Linked DNA regions of Nothobranchius furzeri. The protein of the gene in region 2 purifies or fractionates together with the protein of the main gene of each other region. This does not show direct contact. Links are inferred from orthologs where the notes say so. Each region holds a gene or a part of one and is shown on either strand. Other genes may lie near its edges.

What was found.
Region 1: the proteins of lztfl1 (region 2) and bbs7 purify together in Homo sapiens (affinity purification with mass spectrometry; 3 studies listed by BioGRID and IntAct, counting the BioPlex papers as one, with this or other methods). This does not show direct contact. The link is inferred for Nothobranchius furzeri from reciprocal best matches to the Homo sapiens genes LZTFL1 and BBS7.

Annotation. Positions count from the first base shown.
Region 1 is NC_091741.1:74,291,698-74,294,574, reverse strand, and holds the end of bbs7 (Bardet-Biedl syndrome 7 protein), read right to left. Parts: intron 2,854-2,877; coding exon 2,779-2,853; intron 2,700-2,778; coding exon 2,631-2,699; intron 2,332-2,630; coding exon 2,192-2,331; intron 1,842-2,191; coding exon 1,677-1,841; intron 1,591-1,676; coding exon 1,481-1,590; intron 1,390-1,480; coding exon 1,286-1,389; intron 1,210-1,285; coding exon 1,086-1,209; intron 977-1,085; coding exon 843-976; 3' UTR 501-842; downstream 1-500.
Region 2 is NC_091747.1:45,027,241-45,031,540, forward strand, and holds the start of lztfl1 (leucine zipper transcription factor-like protein 1), read right to left. Parts: upstream 2,801-4,300; 5' UTR 2,665-2,800; coding exon 2,662-2,664; intron 2,375-2,661; coding exon 2,250-2,374; intron 2,088-2,249; coding exon 1,893-2,087; intron 1-1,892. UniProt on the Homo sapiens protein: Regulates ciliary localization of the BBSome complex. Together with the BBSome complex, controls SMO ciliary trafficking and contributes to the sonic hedgehog (SHH) pathway regulation. May play a role in neurite outgrowth. May have tumor suppressor function.

The DNA of each region.
Region 1 (2,877 bases), on a different chromosome or scaffold from region 2:
TAATTGCAAATTTAAAACCGGTTTGAAAAAAAGATCCCAAATACAAAGTTAAACGCGAGTAACAACAACGTTAACGCATTTGGAATAAAAATCTTTGCTGCAACAATTATGTATATTTATATCATTAGAAGCACTTCAACATACTTAGACGTCTTCCTAACCTAGGGCTCGTGCTTGAGGTCATTTCTAGGTCCACCAGTATACTTGTTTACTGAAAGACTTGCACATATGTTTAGTTTAAGAAATTACTCATAAGACTATAATTTAAAATGTTTAAATACTATTGTATTTTTATGTTTGGCTTTATTTTTCATGTGTCCTATTCTTACATTAGGTTGAATGACCACTTATGCTGATTAGATAAATTTGTGTATAAAACTTAAATCCACATGGAAGTACCTAACCCAGTATACAGCAACAACTTGTTTCTTGACGAATCTGTTGTAGCATGAGGTACATTACATTAAGATGTAAATAATATGGAATAAAATTGAAAACAATTGGTGTGTTAGCTATTTTTTACTGACAAGTTACTGCACAAGGACTGGTTTAATACAGAAAGATTAGATATTAAATTGAGTAGCATTTGACACACATACTATAACTGTAACAAATTCCATCAAATTCTTGCATGAAAATAAGAGTATTGCAGTATTCTCCTAACCATTTGCAGTACGCCTTAATACATCAAAAGTAATTTATTACTCAACTCTTAAGGGAGAGTAAATTATTTCTAAATAAAATTTAACAAAATAACACAGTCTCAAAGATGAACTATCGTCATGTAAAGATTGCAACACAACAACCGTCACAGAGATAGATCATCTTTGGCCATTATGGCATCATGGCTCATTGAAAAAGTCTAAGAGTGACTTTAATTCGTAATTATCAAGTATCTCCAACAACGAGGACACTTTTGTTTTCACATTTTGGCCCTTGAATTTGAATTTGTCGATGAAGAGGTCAGTGATCATTCCTGCAGGAAAACAGAAATACACACAAAACTTTATAAAGTGAAAATCAAAAAGCAACAATAACAAAAATTAATCAACAGTGAAAGTTAGTTCTTTTTACTCCAGCTTTACCGTAAAGCCTTTCAAGGTGGGCTGGCTGCTTCTTGTACTCCTCCAGAAGGTTAGCAGACTCATCCAAAATGCTGCGGTACTCTGGGATGAGGAAATCTGCATTTCCTTCATGAACTTGAAGTTCCTAGGAAACATAGATTCAACTATAATGAACTGAATCATAAATAAACAGCAACAAAACACATTTAACCAAAACTTACTTTGAGAGCATCGACAAGTTGAACTTTTCTAGCCAGCACCAACTGATACTCCAGCTTTGGGTGGATCATCCTGAGGGTGTGGCTCACGGAGTCGTCATTAATATCTGGTAGATCAATAAACATGTTGTTCTATGTCGCTGAATGATGGCAAAAGACGTCTCAGCTTATCCGGAAACAGAAGAAAAATAAACATACCGTATGAAATGTTTAGATTGATTTTCTTCTTGGTAGCTTCTTTGGAAAGAACATCAGTCAGTATAGAGATAGTAGAAATATTGTCGGACTTGAAGTGGCCCTCCCCTTTGCTGAAATGAGACATTCAGACTCGTTCGCAACTGAAGTACTATTTCAGATGGAGTGCAGTATTATTTTACTTTGTGCATGCATTTACCTGTAGGTGGCTTCCAGCTGTGTGCCAAGGAATGTGTTATAGAAGTAGAAAGTAATGCTCTCGCCTGCCGGAGTTTTCTCAGGCACCTCTGGCAAACAGAAAACCACCCAGGAATGAATCTCTGCAAAACTGAACTGTCCCACCAAATTGAGCTGATTCATGGGTCTGAAAGAAAACAAATGAGAGATCACATTACTGAGTTAACTCTAATTATAATGAGAAATCTCTAAGATTACGGAAACAAACAAACACATACAGAAGGAAATAATACAATTTCTCAAAAGCCAAATGTAGTGTAGTGTAGTCTTGTTGAAGGCTATACAGCAATTCTCTTAATAAATACGGCTAAATGCATAATTCTTGATATCGAGTTTATTAATAAGTTTTGGCAATCTTATGCCTCAAGATAATTCCATGCTGTCATTTGATACATTTTTAGTAATGACTGCTCTAATCAGAAAATCTGAATAACTGAAATCCATGTATATACCGTATATATAGACTAAAATCATTACCTGTCTGGGTCTATACTGTGCGTCCGCTGGTGAAGGGACAGTGGTTTGATCTGATACTGCCGAACCTGACAGGTTTTTGGTTGCAGTCTGGGGGTAACATAAGCCTGCAGGGTCCCATACTGTCCCTCAATGGATCTCACCTATAAAAATGTTTCAGTTTGGGATTAAACATTTTATTCTGTGTTCAATTATTTATAAAACAGGTTTAAAAAGTAGATTAGGTAACAATTTTTAATAGAACATCTGTATAACACTGCATTAAAGCTTTTCTTTGAACAAGTATGGTAAGTGATTAAGTAAAAAGTAAAAGCAACCAGAATCAGAGAAAACTGGACCTAATGTGATAATATAGATTTATAAACAAAAGTAAACACTAAAGGCATGTCTGCATGGCTTCACTGCAAACCAGAGAGTGACAAGAGTCCAATGTTCTGCTTACCTTAAGCTCCATCCTTGTAGTGTTGGCCTGACATCTGTATGTGGCCAGGAGGAAGTTCCCATTAGGCTGCTGAAATAACAACAAGCATCAGACGGTTTGGAGCGGAGGCAGGATGGTTTTATGTAAAGAAAGTATTCATACAGCTCACCTCTGAGTCACATTCACTAAAACTGACGACAGCAGAGTTCTTATCAACGTCCAGCAGATCTATGGGGACGTCACTCTGTGTAAAAAATCCAAATTTAAA
Region 2 (4,300 bases):
CCAGTAATACAAGAAGCCAGAAGTTAAATGATGTTATGAACAGAACAAAAGGGTATGACCTTTTGTGCAAGATGCACATGAAAAGTATTTATAATTTTATATATTCTTCAAATCTCTAGAAAGCTAGCATGCGGTTTGGATATCAAGATGGCCTTTTTTAATCAAATCTAATATTTGGTCTTATTTATTTCTCTGTTACGTGTTCTTGAGTATATTTTTAAACCTGAAGCACGAATATAAAGAAATGTTGTTGCAAAAATGTCAAGATTTTGCCAAGAATCCAAAAGCGATTAATGGTAAATGGTAAATGGCCTGTATTTGATATAGCGCCTTCTAGAGTCCTGGAACCCCCCAAGGTGCTTTACAACACAATCAGTCATTCATCCATTCACACACACACATTCACACACTGGTGGGGATGAGCTACGATGTAACCACAGCTGCCCTGGGACGCACTGACAGAGGCGAGGCTGCCGAGCACTGACGCCACCGGTCCATCCGACCACCACCAGCAGGCCCAAGGACACAACGACAGCGACAGACTGAGCGGGGCTCGAACCTGCAACCTTCCGATTACGGGGCGAGCACTTAACTCCTGTGCCACCGTCGCCCCATGGAGATGCACATGTACATCTCCACGTTGCTCAATGAGCTGACTGAGGGAAAAATGCGTTCGTGTTTGGGAATAACGAATAAAAATAATCAATTTACCAAAAAAACTATAAATAATAAGTAAAGATTGAAGAAATAACTTAAATTTAGACGTGGCATTTTGCCTGCAAGATTATCTTATGAGAAATTAGGAAGTTACTGTTGTTTTAATTCAGATCTTTTAAAAGAAATAACATTTGGTGTGATCTTGTAACATTACAATCTCAGCTATCATGAAATTTTTGTTCAGTATCTGTAAAAATGTGATGAGTTATAGCAATTTTTTTTAGCATTTAACTGAGTATTTTTAAGCTGAAATTAATAGTTTTTGCTTTTTCTTTTTTAATGGACACGCAGCTTGATTTAGTCCCAAATTTACAAATGTGTTATTTTATTCAACATTCAGAACTATTTGCTTTGCTAAAAAATGGCCTCAAGCCACCGGGTGAAGATGTTCACCTACTCGCATGAGTATCTATAGAAATTCACAAATGAAACTATAATTTTAATTTGCTGGAAAGCTTTTATAAACAGATTTGTTGTAATAAGATTTATTTCTAATAACGGATCACTAAAGATTCTTTGAGAGCCTTTTATTCGCACAATCCTGGCTTTTAGTTTTTTTTTTATCACAGCATGCTAATAAATCTTATAGAAAAAAAGTAATTTAAGAAAAACTAAAAGCATTCTACCAAAAGTCTGAAGATTTTACCTCAACACCCCAAAACAATAAAATTAGAAATCACAGCAGGAGTCTGCATGAACTAAAAGATAACATGTTTCTATTGTAACCTAAAGCACGGGAATTGTGACAGCTTGTGGTTATTACACAATCTAATCTAAAAAAGTCCTGTTGTATAAGTGTAATGGAAGAAGTGTTAGTGCAATGGAAACTTGAGTTAAACACAGGTGGATGAGTGACCTTTCTACCTGGCAAATGGCATGTTGGAGATCTGAATCTAAAGAGGAAGTCAAATACAGTATGGTACAAAGTGGGGCAGCTTTTTTGTTCTTGTAAACATAAAGAGTTCTTGCATTATAGTATTTTTTTCTTGCATTAGACTGAATTATTTCAGAAAATAAGTACAGCTAGTATGAGAAATACAAAAAAGCCACTAGATACAGTTTCATTGAAAAAAAGAACAATTATCGCCTTTTCAGACTTGTTGGTTTAATATGATGCATTAAGAAAAGTAAAATCTTATACTTTAGGATGACTATTAAACTTCCGATTCCCAAACCTGTTCTCCAGTTCTGAGATGTCACTCTGGAGTCGGAGGTAAAACTTCTCAGCCTGGGAGAAAAGTTGCCTGAGCAACAGCACGTTAGTGTGGGCTGTGTTGATGAGCTCCATCTCCACCTCTCCACGCACCACCATCTGCAGCCCGTCCATCATCTCTCTAACCTCATCCACTGTGAATGTCTCTTCCACCAACCTTCAGACGCATTAAGAAATGCTAATAACTGAAAAGGCATCACATCTTATTTCTATTTACACAAAATCAGATTAAAGGACGTTTACACAATGACAGAAAAAGTTACACAAAATCAGATTAAAGGACGTTTACACAATGACAGAAAAAGTGATCATCACTCACCTGCTATCTTTGAGTTCCTCAAAACATGAGTCAATAGTCTTGAGCCTAAGGACCCTCTTTGAACGGGCAAATCGCATGTAATTAATAATTTCATTCTGGTGATGTTCATTGAATCCAAAGTCAGCCTGCATGGAGACAAGAAAAACATTTGGACCCATAAAAAATGTTTCAGAAATAGAAGATACACCAAAACAATCGATGTAATAGTAGCCACAGTTAGCTTATCAGCTAACTTGAAGAGGATTTTCTCTTGCCGAGATGCCACAAGGCCTTATCAAGAGAGCTGGCACGGATGGAAGTGCTCGCTAACTTTAGCTCAGAGGGAACATAACATAACATAACATAACAGCATTTTGACATCTACAAGCAAATCAGGTAGCCAACACCGCGATGCCCGGCAGTAGCTAATTACCATGATGGCTGTGTAGCTTGTAGACCGAGCTTTTCCAAAGGAAATATTGGTTTTCTGACTCTAATTTAGACAACTCTAGGAACAAACTAAAAGCTTTAGACAAAATATGTTGACTCGGGATGTAGGAAACCCTTTTCTGTGTATTTTCAGCTCGTTAAAGATGCTAAATTGTCGCTATATCATAGCTATAAGATTATCTTGCAGATCTGTTAGCTTAGCTTTTTAGCTAAGTTTGCCTTGAGAATGCCTTGGTAACGAAACACAGCGTCATTGCCTTGGTTACGAGAGGTGCATTCAAAGGCGCTACGTAAATCACGTGAAAAATGTAGAAATGACTAAAAACGGAAATTCTGCATCGAAAATGTTAGATATTCGTGATGGCTACGTTTGCAATACGTTTATACCGGCATTTAATCATAAAATGAAGCTTTAAGTTATCCTTTGTCAAATGTGCAGCTTTTCCAGCTAAAACAATCGTATGATTTGTTTTTCGAGCATTAAATGTCTCATAAAAATGTGCTAATTTCAACCAGATCTGGTTGTTTTATTGTCTTATTCACTACGCTTTCTGTTTTCCTGGGTGCAAACAATGATTTCCACAATAAAGTCATGTTTGTTGTATTAAAGATCGATATTTTCTAATTCTGCCTCTTGCCGTGTTCTTAAATCGTAAATGCAAATGTGTTCTGAAACATTGTATGTCAAAACCTCCGATATTTTTTTATGGGAGGTTTGTTGAATTGTTTTATTACAAAGAAAAAAATTCAACTTTTCAATAGTTTTTCTCCCTTAGTTCATTTTAGTTTTTCAGAAATCACATATTTCTTCTGTTCGAATTTATTTATTTATTTATTTATTTTTTATTTTTTCATTTATTTTTTTATTTCCAAAGTTAAAACACGTTTGACAACAGGTTGTTATAACACTGCTGCACAGAGTAGCACTGACCAGAGGAAGGCAGTATAGAACCAGAAAAATTGGAGCTACAAAGCTCGTTATTCATAGGGCACGTTTGAAAACTTTCATATGCTGTGATAACAACTATTGGCAGATAATGCCAGTGACAGCTCATGGAGAACAATTTCTGCAAATCATTAGCCCAATTTTAACATTTATGATCCCATTCAAGGTCTGTTTAGAGTCTTTCCTGCAAAAATTCAATTGAAATCATGTGAACCTGATCAAACCTTGAAAAATCTTTTCATCCTTGCTGAAACCTAAGGAACTTCCTTCTCTATCTTGTTAGGAGAAACCCTGGGGGGGGGGGGGGGGGGGTAAATGGAAAGTTTTCTTTTCCACATTTCTCTCTAGCTGTAATCAAATTAGACTAACAGGCAGCGCATGGTTTGTCACCCAATCAGACAAATGCCTTATGACCATTCTGAGCTCTTCCACTCAAGTTTAGTGTACAACATTAGTGAGTAACAGGGGCCAAGATGTTTCCTCTTTACCTTCAGTCGCGGTAAGTCATTTACATTTTGAGAAAAAGGCTCAATGCCATCATTTAAATCTATATTTGGAAAAGTTGCAACTAAAATTACTGCTGCATATATAGGTGAACTTTATGAACTTTATCTTAGACTGTGATTGTTACATTTCAATTAAAACACCAATAGGACATTTGGGAAGAGGGCATGAT